4 linked regions of the Drosophila melanogaster genome follow. The protein of the gene in region 1 interacts with the protein of each later gene in a pairwise test. Each region holds a gene or a part of one and is shown in the gene's direction. Other genes may lie near its edges. The genes, in order: Obp57c, Tsp74F, SdhD and Elovl7.

Evidence for each region.
Region 2: the proteins of Obp57c (region 1) and Tsp74F interact in a two-hybrid assay, tested with the Drosophila melanogaster proteins (one large-scale study listed by BioGRID).
Region 3: the proteins of Obp57c (region 1) and SdhD interact in a two-hybrid assay, tested with the Drosophila melanogaster proteins (one large-scale study listed by BioGRID).
Region 4: the proteins of Obp57c (region 1) and Elovl7 interact in a two-hybrid assay, tested with the Drosophila melanogaster proteins (one large-scale study listed by BioGRID).

The regions. Positions count from the first base shown.
Region 1 is NT_033778.4:20,501,545-20,504,716, forward strand, and holds Obp57c (Odorant-binding protein 57c), read left to right. Parts: upstream 1-2,039; 5' UTR 2,040-2,122; coding exon 2,123-2,176; intron 2,177-2,238; coding exon 2,239-2,634; 3' UTR 2,635-2,658; downstream 2,659-3,172. Other genes in the region: Obp57b (Odorant-binding protein 57b), read left to right, coding at 2,722-2,784, 2,848-3,172. UniProt on the Drosophila melanogaster protein: Present in the aqueous fluid surrounding olfactory sensory dendrites and are thought to aid in the capture and transport of hydrophobic odorants into and through this fluid.
Region 2 is NT_037436.4:17,891,075-17,897,626, reverse strand, and holds Tsp74F (tetraspanin 74F), read left to right. Parts: upstream 1-1,764; 5' UTR 1,765-1,861; intron 1,862-2,414; 5' UTR 2,415-2,596; intron 2,597-4,070; exon of another isoform or gene 4,071-4,175; intron 4,176-4,240; 5' UTR 4,241-4,249; coding exon 4,250-4,327; intron 4,328-4,404; coding exon 4,405-4,596; intron 4,597-4,814; coding exon 4,815-4,910; intron 4,911-4,973; coding exon 4,974-5,270; intron 5,271-5,344; coding exon 5,345-5,392; 3' UTR 5,393-5,807; downstream 5,808-6,552. Other genes in the region: CG7402 (uncharacterized protein), read right to left, coding at 6,273-6,552.
Region 3 is NT_033777.3:23,758,938-23,762,540, reverse strand, and holds SdhD (succinate dehydrogenase, subunit D), read left to right. Parts: upstream 1-1,940; 5' UTR 1,941-2,046; coding exon 2,047-2,089; intron 2,090-2,180; coding exon 2,181-2,296; intron 2,297-2,368; coding exon 2,369-2,556; intron 2,557-2,617; coding exon 2,618-2,819; 3' UTR 2,820-3,054; downstream 3,055-3,603. Other genes in the region: udt (undicht), read left to right, coding at 111-922, 981-1,560; PTPMT1 (protein tyrosine phosphatase, mitochondrial 1), read right to left, coding at 3,055-3,183, 3,246-3,563. UniProt on the Drosophila melanogaster protein: Membrane-anchoring subunit of succinate dehydrogenase (SDH) that is involved in complex II of the mitochondrial electron transport chain and is responsible for transferring electrons from succinate to ubiquinone (coenzyme Q).
Region 4 is NT_033777.3:7,992,695-7,997,501, reverse strand, and holds the start of Elovl7 (ELOVL fatty acid elongase 7), read left to right. Parts: upstream 1-1,649; 5' UTR 1,650-2,079; coding exon 2,080-2,082; intron 2,083-4,807. UniProt on the Drosophila melanogaster protein: Catalyzes the first and rate-limiting reaction of the four reactions that constitute the long-chain fatty acids elongation cycle.

The DNA.
Region 1 (3,172 bases):
GCTCTGCTCCGCTTTTCACTTCGCTTTGCCGCTGGCCAAAGATGCAGCTGTCTCGAGCGCGGAGCTCCTTTGCTCCTCTGCTCCTTTTGCTGCGTGGCCCTTGCATCTTCCAGGATGTGAACCCACTTCCCGGACTTTGTTTGTCTTGGAGAAGCGATTCACACCCCAGTGGTTTCGTCGAGAACGGCACCTAACTGGCAATGCTATGAACTTGGCAGCTGACTATGCTGCTCTCCATTTCGAACTAATTGATAAATGTATACTACTTAGTGGTTCTCTATACTGAAACGAACGTGGGAAACCTGGTCATTGTCGTTGGCAAGCTGCGGGATTCTGGTTCGTTCATTAATTTGTTGCAATTTCTTGGCGAAGTCAAAGTCTCGGCTCAGTTGCAGAAGATGCTTCGGTTATGCAATGGCTACGCCACCGACATCCCTTAACATTTTACGCATTTTTCCAGAAATTCCATTGTGTTGCTGCACGTGCCAAAATGTATTTGGGCGGGCTTTTGTTGGGGTGGGCGTGGCATCAAAGTGCATGCAAAATACGTGACATGCATATTGAAGTCACTTACTATTTATTTTTATTACGCAAAGCAGCCAGAACTTTTTACACATATTTTTTTTTTACTAGTTCTCCTTTTGTTGTGGCAACTTTTCCGGAAAGGTATCAGCGGCAACAGCTGAAAAAGAGGGAAAAATAGGGAAAGAAAACTACACCAGCTCCCCCTGACATGTTTAATAAATGGCAGTAGCTGTCAGAGGAAAGTCAGAGTTTTTTCTTGTTAACCTTCATTGAAACTTTACTGAAGTGAAGGTTCAATACTTATAATTTTTGCGTGGGCTCATTAAATTTCAAAAAGTTTGATATTCAATTACCATTAGGCAGAAATAATGCCAAATTTATGAAATCCATTAAATCTGATTTCGATTCGAACATCCGCATTATTTCACATTTCCATTGTGCATGTCGACCTGTGAATTATGCCTACTGCTTATCGACCCAGAAACATTTCATAGGACTAATTAGCGTCCAACGAAATCAAATTTCGCCCTAATAAACCCATAACAGCGATATCGTGTTTCGCGAAAATGCCAAATTTTCATAAAACCTCAAAAATTGATGGGCTGAGAAATAGGCAAAATGGCATCGCAATTATGCAGCAGGACTTGACAGGACTAGAAGCGACAGGCTGGGTCAGCCGAGGACACAGTTTAGCACCTAGCTATGACCATAAAAATTTGTAATTTTCCCCAACACATATTTCCTTTTTGGCAACCGTCCAAAGTATGCAGCGTGAAAAGAAAGAGGGCAAAAATAAGAAAAAAATTGTTCAGGCCGTAAATAACCAAAGTAAACAACGCGACAAGCGGTTTGGCGGAGCAGGAGGTCGCTGGAAAAGAGCAGACAAAGTCCCGGCCGCAAAAGCCAAAACTCACTGCGAATGTGAATATTCTTGGAATTTTCATTTGTTGTCTACAGTTGCATGGGGTTGCATAGTTAGGAATGTCTTTTCTCCAAAAAAAAAAAAAAAAAAAAAAAAAACTGTAGTCAAACCAAACCAAACCATTCCAAACTAAAACCCCCTTTTCCACCCACTGTCAACGCAATTTGTCGCTTTGTGTTGCTCCTGCCGCTGCAGTTGTCGCTTCATTTTTGCAACAAAAGTGTTGCAAAATATGTTGACAGGAAATGTTATGCGAATTTCACTGCGTATAAAATGAAATTTACGTGCAACTTTGCACAGTGTGTGTGTTTAGTTTTGCCGGAAAAGCTTTGGTGGCCGGCCTTTAAAAATTGTAAGAGTATATAATTGCCAATGAAAATCAATCATTGGATTCGAGCTCAATGCAAGCTGATTCAGTTCCGAGTTTTGAGACTCAATTAAATGCACGACAGATCGTACTTCCAACTGGCTCATATTGTGTACAGTAACCAGTTGATCGCAATTAACTAGCTAACTAGATACAGATAAGCTAGACGCCATAAATTAGCCACAAGCCAGTGTGTATAAAATTCAGAACCGCCTTTCTGCGAGTAACAGTTTATCGTGAGGTGCTACTGTGCTAGGAAAACCCATGTCCATATTTATCTTGAAACAGATTCTGCGAATCGTTAGATAATGCTTAAGCTATGGCTAATATGTATCTTGACTGTCAGCGTGGTCTCCATACAGGTAATCACATCTGAGGTCTGTTTCATATGGCAGTTAATTGGAAAGTATGGTTTTTATTATAGAGTCTCTCACTTCTGGAGGAAACCAATTACGTGTCAGATTGCCTGGCCAGCAATAACATCAGCCAGGCTGAATTCCAGGAACTCATCGATCGCAACAGCTCCGAAGAGGATGACCTCGAGAATACCGACAGAAGATACAAATGCTTCATCCATTGCCTAGCGGAGAAGGGAAATCTTTTGGATACCAATGGCTATTTGGATGTGGATAAAATTGATCAAATTGAGCCCGTGAGCGATGAACTGCGAGAGATACTCTACGATTGCAAGAAAATCTACGATGAGGAAGAAGATCATTGCGAATATGCGTTTAAGATGGTGACTTGTCTAACTGAAAGCTTCGAGCAGAGCGATGAGGTCACCGAAGCGGGTAAAAATACAAACAAATTAAACGAATAATCGGTCTAAAACTGGTCAAGCAACTTAATCGCAATTGTTTTATGCCAGCGGGAAATTCACAAGCAACTGTTTAGTTTCATTTCTACAATGTTCATCTACAGACTTGTATTTATTGCGCCTCTGATTTTGTTATTGTTCAGCTTGGCCAAGGTGGGATTGATATTTATATTTGACTAAGCTTTTGATTTATTTTCAACAAACTACAATATATAGGCTCGCCACCCCTTTGATATATTTCATTGGAATTGGCAAGACTTTCAGGAGTGTCTACAAGTTAATAATATTACCATAGGAGAATATGAGAAATACGCGCGACACGAAACTTTGGATTACCTGCTCAACGAGAAAGTCGACTTGAGGTACAAGTGCAATATTAAATGTCAGCTGGAAAGGGATTCAACGAAATGGTTGAATGCTCAAGGCAGAATGGATTTGGATTTGATGAATACGACCGATAAGGCATCCAAATCCATTACCAAGTGCATGGAGAAGGCTCCCGAAGAACTTTGTGCGTACAGTTTTAGACTGGTGATGTGTG
Region 2 (6,552 bases), on another chromosome or scaffold:
AAGTGGCGAAGGCGTAAGTAGAGTTATAGCAGCTATGATAAGTCATGTGAGAATCAAAAATGTTGCATTTGTTGTTTTTTCAATGTTTCACTTTAGTTTGCATCTGATAATGTATGATGCATGTTGCTGTGTTAACTCGGTTGTATGCGCAGTTCGGTTAACATTTTAATTATATCTTCCACTACCAGTAGTCATTTGCTTGCCTTCCCAATTTTTGACTCATTCCAATCAGTTAAAGTGCCACAATTTAACGCTTCTGACGCTTGTCACCTTCGCCGAGCTCAACGAGGCTTTCAACTCGCTCACACTAATCGGATCTCAGTAAGTATAGGTTCATAGGCGAAATTGACTGGCTTAAAATTAAGAATTCCCCATAATATTAATGATTCTTGGCCACTTGAGCAAGAATAACTGAGCACTAGTCGCAAACTTCGATTTCTGAGCAATATTTTATCATGAGGCGCCTGTGGGACGAGTGTGTGGAAATGGATTTTATGGCATCTATAAAACGCAAAAGGTTCCCACAGCGAGTTTATAAGATGCAAAATCAACAGGCAGAGTAATTGTTTTTCTTTTTTTTATGATTTATTTTTATTTTCGCCATGCAACTAACACATTGGTCGGTGATTACGGGGACATGGCGGGTGGTTGTTGTTAACACGGCCATAAAAGTGCTAAACAAGCCAACAATTTGAGCGCTTTTCAACCGTGCTGTGGAGTGTAAGTAGGGAGGGTGAGCTATTCGTCTATCGGCAGCCAACTTTCTGACCTTAGCTTGGAAACTGCTTAAAAAATTACTCAACTCAGCCAAAACTATTTGTTCGACTAACAAGAAAATTAAGCTGTTAATTGCCAAAGGTTGTCCTTCGGCACAGCAATTGAGTTCGACCAGCAAAAGTAACATGAAACACGGATAATAAGCATATTTTCCTTGTGCTCTCTTGGAACACTAAGCCCTTGAAATCAAGAAAGAAAGATAGCCTCGCCAATGTTTGATTTCTTTTCTAATATTTTCAATTAAATTTCGATATTTATACATACATGATACAGAAGACAAATTCACATACTACGAGCAATAAAAAGAAGATTTTTAGAAAAGTTCCAAGCTTTAAAACTATGATTCTAGAATGCGTAAGAAAGGAACGGACTGACAAACTTGGCTTTATCAAGTTGTCTGATCAACACTCGTATATTGAATATAAATATGGTTGCAAATAGATGCAAATGATCCAACTGAAGAAAGAAAACAATCATTACAAATAATCCTTGTTCAAAAAGTATTTAAACTTAAACTGTTATAACAAAACGGTAACCAATTCGGATAGATTTGCCTCCAAAATCAATTATGCGGACATTGCCATGTGCAGACCGAGAACTAAAACAAATATCAAATTTCGTTTGCTTATCAATATTTATATTTTGCAATTGCCCGAAATGAAACAAAGGTGCTGGCTGTGGACGACGGATCATATTTTGTTTGCTCAACGCATTTTCACATGCCGACTCCGCAAAGGGAAGTGTGGGTAAAAGAAGCCGAAAAATAGATGAATAAATAAGAGAGAAGCACGAAAACATTCAGAGAAGTATTTGCGGTTTGTAAGCGAGTAGAGACTCCCATCTCTCTCGCACCTGCAGTGCTAAGCCTTCGAAAACAGGGGCTCAAGTCGAAGTTGTTGTAATGTCGAGAGACCGAGACCAGAAAAAGCCCAACAACGAAGCTCTTTGTGAGCGAAACTAATAAAAAACCGATCGCCCCGACTGTTCCCACAACCAGTTCCAAGCGAGCTCTCGGGCGGTAGAGTCGTCCCTGTCCCACATATAAAACCATAGTATCATAGCTCCCCGGATCCACTCAATCCCTGTAAGGCGAGACTTAGGTCCATCAAGTGAATCGTATAGTTTTATCCCCACGAAATATCCCGACAGTACAGTGATAACTCCGCTAAGGATAATGCTGCCTTGGCAAGCGTGACGTAACTTGAAAAGCAAATGTTAAAAGCAAGGCGGCAAAAAAAAAGTTGTTTGCCATGGGAGAACTGCAATTGACAATAACAGCAACAGCAATCGAATAAAAACTCAATAACAATTATCAACTGCGAGTGACGCTTAAAACAAATGCAAGAAACCTGTATTAAAAAAGTTTCATAAAAATTCGAGAGCAAATATTAACGAATATTGCATAAATTGCTATATGCGTATGTAAACTTTGCGATCTCTTTTGATCTGAATGAAGTGATCTGAATGAAGAATGAACCAAAAATTTAAACAAGTTAATAAAATCGACCGAAAAAATGAATGAATGCGTCTTCATCAAAAAGTTGTTTATAAATAAAAGTGAAATTAAAAACTCTTCTACTTCTTACCACAAAAATGTTAATTGAAAGGGTTAAAATAATTTCCTTCTTTTTTTATAGCCACTCCCAAAGTTTCTGTGCATTCAAGTGCAACTAAAAATAGTAGCCGTTTCTTTTGTTTTGCTTTGTGTTTTTGCAAAACAACAAATTGAAGGCAATTTACATACACAAAGCTGAGAAAGAAAACCGCCAAAATTGGTTACCTAACGAAAACTTCGTTTGTGCTACGGGACGGCAAACTTGTAAGTGAATTTGCTTATTAGATAATATTTCATTTGTTTTAATTAATCATAAATTTCATACAGAGGTCCTTCAAATGCGACCACTTTCCTATTTTCACTGCTATATTTTCAAGCTTCGAGTATAAACAAGGAGTACATATTTCATATTTATAGCCTCGACCGATTCTGCTCACTAACTTTTAAGCTAACATCACCTACAAATAAAGATTACATACGAGTTTTAAACATAAATGACCTAGTAAAGCTATTATTCCTATGATTACAGATAGATAACAGGGTATGAAAGGAGCATAAAAGAGTGAGCTCAGAGTTTAGTAGATAGTACTTAAAAAGTCTGATTTTCTAAGTTTTTCATGAGTGACAGGACTTGGAATCCGAGCTTTAAGTGATCTATTACCATGTGTAGCACGTACAGCTGAACAATTACCATAAACTTAATTGGTCTCAGCTTACAAGCGGCAGATATAGTGATTCGCCCCGCCGCCAACGCCCCGTCATCATTAATGGCGACTTTCGGATGACTTACTGTCATCTCAGGCACGATTCGGATTCGCTTAACATGATAACGTCGAATGAAATATAGTGAATATTCAGATAGTGTGAGAACATTTTTTTAATAGCCCCGCCAATTACCTGGCGAACTCGACTGCGGCTTAACATATTTGAATTTGGAGAATAATGCTCGAAATGAGATGTCGTTTACCAGCTAGTGGGGTGAAGGGGTACCCGACTGCTCAGCCTGCAATTACTTTTAATTAGCATTTAGAACATCGCACTGCGCCAAGATGATTCAGAGCTGGGACGGCACTCGTAGTTAAACCACTACAATTAGCTGACAAATTTTCGGGCAGGCTATTACTTTGATTTATTTGTTTTGATCGCTCCAACTTCAACGGGGGGAATTCGTCTCGGAATCGCCGCGCAGCGAACCCTTCAAGTGGGCCTAATGCGATGTAAGTAACCAAAAAAAAAAAAAAAAACGCGAGTCTTTAGAGCCGTAACTGACAAAATCCACAAGACGTTGGCAGCCACCGCCGATAATGAACGCTTGTCTAGGCACATAGCGTTGGCAGCTTCGCTGCTCAGTCGCAGTTCCATAAAGTGGGTCATGGTTAAGTGTACTTCGGTCGCTTCGCGGTTCGGACCCGGCTTAGAAAGAGCGAAACGTTCGGCCGAAACCACAGCTGCGCATGCGCATGCGCATGCGCACCACTCGCCAAGCCGAACACCATTGATAGGCAGCCCATATGTTGGAGTGAATCTTACGCGAAAGAAACTCGTTAAAAAGTACATTCTTGAGATTACATCACATTGCAATAGAGAGTAGGCCAAAAATAGCTAATTTGAAATCGGGATGATGAGTTATGATTAACTTGGTTATCGCTAAGGACCTGTTGAAATTGAATGATCTCTAAGAACTTTAACTTAATTAAAGCATAGTGTGAAATTATTTTTATCTGTCTTTGGATTATAGAGTTGTATCGCCATCAAGAACCTCTGCATCTCATCCTACCCCAAATTCCCTGCATAATTCTCCTCGCATCAATATCCTCTGGGGGCTCTTCACCTGTAGACAAAAGTAAACAATGTGAAATCTTTTTATCCCATTGAATTGGTTAATTGAAATGTATTATCCTTTCAAAGGAAGACGATATGGGCTTCAGTTCGCGAATGGACTGCTGCGGGCAGTTCGTCAAGTACAGTCTTTTCATAGCCAACTTTGTGATATTCGTGAGTATCCAGGAGTCGCTTGAATTAAAAAACAATTTAAGAGAAATAAATAATACCAAAATATATGTATTTTCCAGGTGGGTGGAGCGATTGTGTTTTGTCTCACCCTGTGGACTCTGGTGGATCGGAGTTTCGTCAATGAGTTGCTCGGTACAAATCTTTTCTCGGGTGCTGTCTACGTCCTGCTGGTTACATCGATTATCATTTGTCTGGTGTCCTTTTTGGGTTGTGTTGGTGCCGGAAAAGAAGTCAAATGCCTCCTCCTAACAGTAAGTAAACAACAAACAATAAAAACAAAAATTTCATTTTATTAAATAATTAACTTTGTCCTTTTTGGAGTAATCATATCTGGATTTGCATATTTACAAAGATACCATCTAAAGAAATGATCTATTTGATTTAATCTTCTAAATGTTGTCAGTCTCTTCTTTACTATTATGCAAACACCATTTAGCTAAAAAATTAACCACTCGTTTTCCCTTTGCAGTATTTCATAATAGTGGCCCTAGTTTTCGTGACCATGCTAATTGGCGGTGTCTTGGGTTACGTGTTCCGCGAACGAGTTCAGCAGACCATGCGGCAGGTGAGGCAAATCCATCGATAACAACACGTGGGTGGCACATTAACCCTTACCAATATCCCATAGGAAATGCGTTCCACGATGGCACTATACGGAAGCAGGAGGGAGATCACCCAGGCCTGGGATTTGACCCAGGAGCGACTACAGTGCTGCGGAGTGGATACGTGGCACGACTGGAATAGGTACGGACCAGTGCCTGAGTCCTGTTGCCAGGAGCTTTTCGGTGGACAGCGTAAGGAGTGCACAATCTTCCCGACCATTACGAATCTGTACAACCAGGGATGCCTCTATGTGACGACCAACTTCATCAGGGATCACGCGGCGGTTATTGGAGGTACATCCATAGCGGTGGCCATACTGATGGTAAGTGAACGCCTTTCTTCGGTAGCAAAATTATTATATAATATATAATTAATTGGAATTTGGTTTATTTTTAGATCTTTGGCATGATATTCTCCTGTCTACTATTCAATATGATCGAATAGCGCCAACGAGGAGGGGAATCCCATGGTCACGCAGGAAAATCAGATACCAAGGTCCACAGTCCAGAAGAAACACATTTTTAAACATAATTCGCTGGAGTTAAATTAAGAGTATTATCTGAGTGTATGCTAATGTTAGATCTGCACAGATCAACTGTCCGCTTGTATTATGTATTGTATTGTATGTATATACGTGTTTAGATACGCATAACTAGTGAGTATTGAACTTAGTAGGGATTCTATTGTTATTATCTGTTGCATAAATTTGTATTATTTGTGTGAAGTTTTGTAAATTTCCTCTTAAGCCACCGTTATCAACAACCCATTACAATTGCTAGTTTTAAGTGAGCTTTTCAATACTTAATAGAGAATTTAGATGTCTGTCCATTGTTGTTTTCAATAAAAATTAGTTAAAACCAAATACTTCGGAAATGTTTATATATATTAATATTTTTTATTTTTAATCCAATTATCATTAAACGATATGTTGTGATATGAGTATAAAAAAAAAACGAAAAAGGATAAATATTTAAAATGATCTGGTCCATGAAATATGTCCATGTTACGTAAAAATTTGTATTTAAAAAACGGTTTAAAGTATTAAACTGTTTTTGATCGAAGCTTTAATCTACATGCAATATTGTTGCATATTTTTAGGTTTTTTTTGTCTTAAGTCACATTTTTGAAGCGGGAAAATAGGGAAAGTATGGATCACGCTGTGACCTGAAGGTGTTTACAAAGTGAATTATCATCAGATAATATAACAACTTTTATGTTATTTAACTGAAAATAAGTTCGCACTCAAGCGACTTTAAAGATTTGAATAAAAAAGTATTTTCTTTAATTAACTTTTATTAAAAATTATTCTACTAAGAACTTACAGCTACAACAGATTTCTGTATACTAAGCCTATAATACTACCCATCGCAAGCCATAAATTGATGGAGAAGGTGCCGGAACCTGATTGCGTATCCGTATTATTCCACCACTCCCAGTTTCCGTTGTGGAAAGTCGGGTTAGCTCTTGAATCAGAATGCGGAACTCGGGCGCTGGGAATCGCAGTCTTCCGAATTTGTTCCAACTCATCGGCAAGTTGCTGCAGTTGGAGTGGATACATTTGGGCTAGGTTGTATCGCTCGCAGGGATCTTTGGCCAGATCGAAA
Region 3 (3,603 bases), on another chromosome or scaffold:
AAAATAGATTCATAGATCACATAATTTGCACATGGTGCGGTTTAGTTAAGGGTCTAGAAACATATCCATTTTATGTTGATTAGTGATCTTGATTTGAACTTTTATTATAGAACCGATTCCGATTCACGGGCGTATGCGATAAGCCCGACGCTCGCATTCAGTCCTGTCAAACGGCAGGAACGCAGTTCCTCATCCAGAACCAGAAGTTCAACGTCACCTATCAGCAGTGCGAGGGTATGGAGGGCACATTCACCGGCACCGTGGAGTTCAGCTGCCTGGGCGATTGGTTTGTGGGCAAGAACCACTACTTTGCCGTGGCCAACACAAAGGAGTCGCGTAAGGATGAGAAGTACCGCTGCTTCCTTAAGAATCGTGACGATGATCTTTACGTGGGCGTTTCCATTACGGCCGAATGTAACACACTGAAGACGCCAGAAACGTCACCGGAGCGTCTAAAGCTGACGCCAGTGAAGGCTGAGTTTGTGGAACCCGGTTGCACGCTACCACAAAACTTTAGCGGAGAATGGGTGAACACTGCCAACATTGATGCCGATGTCTCGATCAGTGAGACCCACATAAACGAGACGTACTATCCGGATAAAGCTCGATACCGAAAGACAATCTATGTTTGCCGAGAGCGACGGGGTAATCGTGTGATGATGGCTCGCCTCACTGTCGACGGTTGCCAGAAGGATTACGTGTGCTTTGACTTTATGCCCCGCCACCACAACATCATTCGCTACCGCAAGGGTTTGGCTGTGATCAAGGACGATTTTAGTACAGTCTGCTCTTGGGTTCAGTTCCCCAATTCGGAGGCATGGAAATATGATCTGTTTCTTGCTCGAAATCCTGTGCCTGTTCGTTGCCCCGTTGCGGGAAAATTCAACTTTACGCAGCGAGGAGAGCATCCCTTCAGAACGAGGTTTGTAATGTTTTGCAATCGTAGCATGAAACGTATAATTAATGTGTATATTTCACAGAATTCTTGGTGGTGTCACTCTGAGTCCGCGTCCCGATATCCATTGCAAGCAAAACATCTCGGATTTATCGGTTTGCGATACAGATCAAAAGGAATTGGCGGTGGATGAAAACTATTGCCTGTCGGTGGATCACTTGGGTCGTCCCGTTGATATCTACAGTGATCCCGATTACCGCATGAAGTGCATTGGCTTCTGGAAGGAGAACCTCAAGTCCTACCTGATTACGTACGACGATTTGGATCCGCTGTCCAAGTATCGCTGCTGGGTCTATCAGCGTGCCGACCTCAACCGTGTCCTCATGTCGCAGGCTGTGGGCGCATTCTGCAAACTGGAGCAAGATGTGACCTCGTGGAACCACTCGGAGGGCGCTGCCGTAGCCATCGATGCCGTGGAGTACGAAAGGGAGCGTGACGACTGTCCCATGCACTTCGATGACGGATTGAATCCTTGGAAGCCGTCGGATGCCTCCAACATCATATTTGATTGGGACTTTTACCGAGCAGGAGCAGCGACACTAAAATTTCAACTGACTGGCCTCGTTATCGTGGTCTTAGTCCAGGTTAGGAGTTTATTAGCTTAATAATATCAAAAGTATTTTTTAACTATTCCATCCAACGAAATTTACAAAAATTTTACAACCAACATAAAGTCACTTTTAGGAGCAATTGCGTGCCTTAGAATGCGAATTTTAGAAAGTTTTAAGCAAATTTTAAACTTAGTTTGTAAGATCATCACAATTTTTACGTGTAACAGCCATTCCGTCCCAAACGAATCTCAAATGTATTGTGCAAATAATTAAAGCAGTTAAATAAATGCCTTGAACTAAATGTTTTCTTATTATTTATTACACCCTTTAATTGTTTGTTGAGTTCAAAATATTTTACTGGGCTTCCCTTATTATTGTGGGACAATATCTTGACCGCTACTGTTTACCGATAACAAATCGATGACAGCTGACTGCACTAGCCCAGTGCTGTGTAATTTTTTAGACAAATCGGCCCAAACCGAACGGAGCGATAGAGTTTTTATTTTGAGCTGAAAATTCTCAATATTTACACATCCCAACATGTCCCTCTCGTTGCTTCTGCGTGGCGCTGTCCGTTGCAATGGTAAGGACCCACTGGATGGCAAATCGCCTTGTTATTGGACGCAAAACAGCTTTCATTATATAACCAAACCGTTTGTTGGTATCCCAATTAGCCGCAAATCTTGTTAAGTCGGCTCGCATCACTCCCCTGAAGAGCTACTCCACCCTGGTGGCCAATGTCCAGCGGAAGGCGGTGGTCCAGCCCCTGGCCGTGGCCAAGATTGTAGCGGTAAGTGTTTAGAGTTGAAAAATTCAGTGGTGGCTAATCATACTAAATGGTAATCCTCGACTGCTTATGCAGCCCGTCGTGCGCGAGATCTCCGTGAGTGCGCCCCGCATGGCTTCCGCTGGATCCAGCCACACCCTGCTCTGGACTGTGGAGCGAATTGTGTCCGCCGGCCTACTGGCCGTCATTCCAGCTGCCTTCATAGCTCCATCCCAGGTATTGGACGCCCTCATGGCCATCTCTGTCGTCATCCACACCCATTGGTAAGATATCCTTGAGGAAAATTAAACCTTTACTTATATTTTCCTCATTCACCAAACGCAGGGGCGTGGAGGCCATGGTAGTTGACTACATGCGGCCATCTGTCGTTGGAAACGTCCTGCCCAAGGTAGCCCACATTGCGCTGATCATCATCTCGGTGGCCACGCTGGGCGGCCTCTTCTACTTCATCCAAAATGATGTGGGTCTGGCCAATGGTATCAAGCGCTTCTGGGCCATCAAGGGCAAGGATGCCGAGAAGGCTTAAATGTCAAAGGAGCAATCAGTTGATGAACCACGAAACACCAGTTATTTATTCATAGTTTCGCGATAAGCATTAAATAAAGAATTGTAAAAAGTCACAGCTGCACAGAGCGGGTTTTGTAGAAAATTGTATATTCAACAAGAAAATCAGCACTAAAGTAGTTGGGTAACAGGCACCACCTTTGTTACGTATGGTAATCTACTGTAAACAATAAATTTGGGCTATTGTCCAGGTTTGGTCATGATTTCGTCTCCACATTGTTTGTGTAGAATAACCGGAGGGCATCCCATTGTTTGGTGTGCAGCAGAATGTGCGGTCGGCACTTACGCATGTGGTCAACCGCCTGATCCGGAGTCCATCCGTTCTTCTGCAAAGGATAAGTTGTGAGCTTTTTTTTAAGAGCTACGTGCAAATAGATAACCAACCCACCATCATGAGGTAGCATCCCACCAAAGTGGCACTTCGCGTCCTACCAGCCTTGCAGTGCACATAGACAGAACCCACGTTCTCCGGCTGGTAGGAGGAACTTAGGCCACCAATTCTTTGCTTTAGAGGCAGGAACTTGTTTATGAATTCCACGCCGCGGAAGAGCTTTTCTTGATTGGGCGACTCAAAGATGTCGGTGGTGGCCAGCTGCAGGAACTCAATGCCAAGCTTTCGCCACTTCTCCGTGTTGTTGGAGAAGGCGGTCAGCTCATAGTCCTCGTTCATCGACACCACCGCCTTCATGTTCTCCTTTTCAATGAGCTGAGCGGTTAAACAAGGATTTAGAAGGATTTCAGGCTTG
Region 4 (4,807 bases), on another chromosome or scaffold:
TAAATTTTCTGCAAATGCTCAAGGTTGAATCTCTGGGTATAAAGTGCTTATTTATTTTGATTTTTTGTTCACATAAATTTTACAACTAGGCGTGGCTTGCCGGCACCTAAAACTTGTGTTACAATATATTGTCGTGCGCGGCATTAGTTAAAGGACTAGTGAAGTGCATTCTAACTGGGAAAAACATATCCATGTCTGGTGAGTACAGTCGCAGTCTAAATTCTGATGATCAAATGGAAAATTTCAGAGCAAGCGGAAATATTACCTGCCATCTCTGTCCATATAAGGAGGATCATTCTGATCTAGCATGGTCAATTCATCGTGAGCTTTTCCTCTAGTCATACAGCCACTAGAAAGCCCTTGAATCGATCGTATTCATACTTCCCCCAATATGGCAGACGCGTGTTTCGGATCTGTGAGATGGGATCAGCTTAGGGCGACATGTCTATACATATTCATCGTCTCCCCCGCCGACTGTTTGCACATGTAAATTTGGCGCGGCTAGATTACATGGTCAGTTACGTGTTATTCGGTTAGAATTCCGCAAAAAGATCTTGTGCTCGGCGGCCATGCAGCGGACTTTGAGACGAAAAATGCAAATGTTTGCTTTGTTGCATTGCTTGGGTTTTTTGTCGAAAAACGCATCAAAAGTGCAGGGTAATGGTGAGATTTTTAGCAGGTAAATTAGAATAAAGGTAGTTGAAGGGTCGTTAATTGAGGGTAAGTAAATCGTCAACCAAGCCGCTGTCAAAGTTCGATCTAATTGCTTAGCTCACAAAAATCGACTACGTAACGTTTCAAGCTTGCACAAATAACAAGTAAGCGTCGGGTCCTCCGAAATATTAAGTATCCGCCAGGTTGCCTGCAACATCCAGGTCTCGGTAGCCGCTTTTCCCATTCGGGAATTTGTATGTTTCAGAAGTTCACGGCGCATTTTGGCCATTTATTGGCCATCACGAAGGCAAACGGAGGAAAGCCAAGTATTGGTCATTATAAATATTTAAGAGCCCAAGAGGCAAACTGGTTTGGTCAGCCCCATCTTCTTCTGCTTTTTACCGCATACGTATCCAAAGATTGGGCTTTGTTGCTGGCAACCTTTCCGCCGCTCTCCCTCGCCGTGATTTGATTTGATTTGATTTGATTTGTGGCTACGTTAATTTTTGCACACTTTTCCGATATGAAGGGCCGGGCCTGGGCAGGGGTTAATTAACGGACATTCTTGCCGAACTTTGAACTGTGCAATCATGCGCGCTGCCAAGACGCGGCAAAAGTACCGCTCCGATATTTGGATTGGCGGCAATTAGCGCCGCACTTGGGTGTGGGTGCAAAGGCGGGTGATACCCCCACTGGTGGATACCAAGAATTCGATTCCAAAGGGCCGCTGGCCGATCTCGCTCTCGCTCTGGCATCCTGACGCCCGACCCGATCGCTTCGGCTGTCAGAGCGAGAGCACACATCGACAACCTGTTGCTCAGAACCTGTGGCTAGCGACCGAAGCTTTCGACTTCGGCTCACCTCAACGCCAGCGCCATCGCCACGCTCGCCGAAAATGAGCGGTCGGCGGCGCCGACGATCTGCGTCGACGTCTGCGCCAAGTCCGCTCCTACGACTGCGAGGCGGTATAAAAGTAAAGCGGCAGCGTGAAATCAAACTTATTTCAGTGTTTTTGATTTGAATGTAAAAAGCGCACGCTCGCCCAGTCGCTGTCCAGTTGTTGTCCAGTAAAGTCCAGCGGAGCAGCAGCAGCGGCAGATCGGTCGCATCAGCAGTAGCATCAGCAGCAGTTCCCCGCAACAGTGATGTAGAAACCATAAAACCGTATAACGATGGTCAAACAGTGTGTGCGTGTGTAAAACAATAACTAAAAACCTACAAGCAAGAAAAACGAAAAAAAAAAACGAAACGAAACGAACAAGGATAGTGCGCTAAAAAGTGATAATTCGTATACCAAAGTCGAGAGAATCTCTGTAAATTAGTCAAAAAAAAAAAAAAGAAAAAATAAATAAATACAGTACGCTTCCTTGTAACAAACGGAATATAAACGCGCATTTAGTACCTGTTGAAGCGAATTTTAGCACAATGGTAAGTAGCGGGGGTTCCCGACCGAACACCCAGTGTGACTCAACGGAAAATTGATGCCACTGAAACCTCCTTTATTAAAATGCCTTTGCAACCAGTAATTTCGATGCCGACCCCCAACATGCAAGCCTGAATAAATAAATATACATGATCGTACGTTGACTTGGGCTTTCCGTTAAATCCCACAACCCACAAATGACCCTTTGCACACGACTCGTGTGTGCTGCTGCTGCTATTAAGCAAGAAATTAATAATAAAAAAAAAAATAAATAAAGCTCCTATAATGAATATCCGCAATGCAGCCGTTAAAATTAATTGAGCAAATTATTAATCGAGAAAACCTCTCGAGCACCAGCCATTCCTGGTTCTTATTCGTTTTCTTTGGAAATGGAAAAAAACCGCACGCCAGCAACTGGTTTTCGTTTTCAAGTACACATTCGCTAGCAAGGTTTTCCACTGTTTTTTCCCAAATGCATTTTTGCCGACTCCGCGCAGACCTTTCCACGCTTTTCGCCCACTTTTCCCCCGCTTTCTGCCACAAAACATGAGCGTTTTGCTCTGTTCTGTTTTGCTAGAGCCATTCGCTTTCGAGCTCCGCCAAAAGTGCATACAGAAACTGCAAGTGCTGCACTTATTTCGAAGCTGTCGCTGTGTTATGTCCGCAGTTGCAGCAGCAGCACTTACACCAGCAACATCACTGGCTGGCGGTCAAGTGAAGTGAAGGCTGGCTTTTGGCTTTGACCAGCTCACTAGCCCACCAGCTCACCAGCTCACCAGCTCACCAGCTCACCAGCTCACTGGCATGACAACATTTCACACGGAAATGCAGTGCATCGCTGACCTTGAATCTCGGCCGGGGATATGGGATAACTGGCGATCGGAGCGCAGGTGAAATGATAGCCAGTCAGGGCCAGGCCGACTCATTTGTCCCGTCCACCTTACTTATGCTTTCGGCCCATCATTGCAGATGCTGCTGCTGTGTAGAAATCCAGTGATTTTCATATTCATTCAGCAGCTCTGCAAATTCGAGAGAAAAAACCCCAGTGGGTTAACCAATCGCCGCCGCTACTACCGCTGGCTAATGATCACTGGCATTGCACCATTTCACAAAAAAAAAAAAAAAAGAAAAAAAAAAATAAGCAGGCAACCCAGAAATCGAAACTTATTCAAATCTTCGAGTTGTTTTCTTCTCCTTTTGGCCTCTTACACAATGATTATTACACCTCGATTTTATTTTCGACTGGGACTTTTGCCGCATTTTTGTGTTGCCTCTTTTGACACTGAAAAGTGCAAAGGCGCTGGCGGCGAATTTTACTAGTTGCCAGTTGGCTATGGGCGGCTATGGGCTATCGGGTCTGGGTTGTTTGAGGCTGCTTGTTGGAGCCAGAGCCACTGCCACCCAGCTGCCAAACTGCGCAGCCCCCGCCAAGTGATCATAATAAAAAAAAATGTGCCTTAATCAGCCGATTTGCTTGCATTCCCTGTGGGCCAGTTAGCTACATTGGAGAGCCAGTCTCAGACGCATTGACGTCGCTTTATTGTTGACTGCCGCTCGGCACTCAGCTGTTTTTTGGTAAGAGAATCATGTAGAGAGCATATAGTAAACACAAAACCATAGGCAGAGTGCCCTCTTAGTACTTAGTGTGTGTGTGTGTGTGTGTGTGTGTGTGTGTGAGATAACGCTTGCCGCATGTGACTGAAATCGCAGTGCATTCGCTGCTCCATTTCGATTTGTTTGGCTCCACACGGCGTATGCGCGATTTTCTCAGTAGCTAGCTAGTCTTCGTTCACTTCAATTGCGAATATGCCATTTGGGCAAAGGTTTATTGTTCTACATAAAAAAAGTGCGTGTCTCTCAGCAATTTTTTTACTGGCTGTGTATATTCCCGAGCAAATTAACACTTAAAAACTGATAACGCAAGCGAAGAGAGGAATTCGAGGTAGATAAACGTAAAGAGACCATTAAACGGAGAGTACCTGAAAATGATTACATTTATGGACTCTTATCGGCCCGTGATTGAAGTAAGTGTCATTTGAAATTCAATTATTGCTCGTTGGAGATTAGACAGAAAAGTTATGCCAGTAAAGGTGTTAAAAACACTAAAAATAACAGCTTTTAAATTATTATTCAAACACGCTGGCTTGCATATTTTACAGCTCTTTGAGTGCCTTTTTTTTTTTGCAATTTTATACAAACTCTTCGTTCCCGAAAAAACAATTAATTTATACATATTTGTCGCTTTAAACTGGGTCGGTTGGATGAATTTATTTGTATAAATTAAATTATTTAGTGGGCCATGCTGTCATACCGAATTCGTGATTAAACATATTTCCATTAGTGCGAATTTAGATGGGACTTAGGTGCTAAAGTTGTTCGATTTTGTTTTTAAGTATTTTAAAAATGTTTAATAATATTTTCTAAATAATTTCCTTGTCGTACAACAATAAATTACAAATAAATTCCATTTTAAAGCAACGAACGCATTTGCAGTAATATATTTTCGACACATTTAATCCGAACACAAAATAATTAAATCAACATCAACATTGTGGGGCTAAAGCAAAATTTAAATTAGTGGACAGAAACAACCTGATAAATACGCGAATGTAAAGTGATTGAGGAGCTAAAAGTCATTGCTTGTTTAATTGTGTGGCTAGTGATTTACGGGCTTGGGGGCAGAGAACTTTAGGCTGGGAAATGGCAGCAGGGACGAAAACCAAAGTTCGA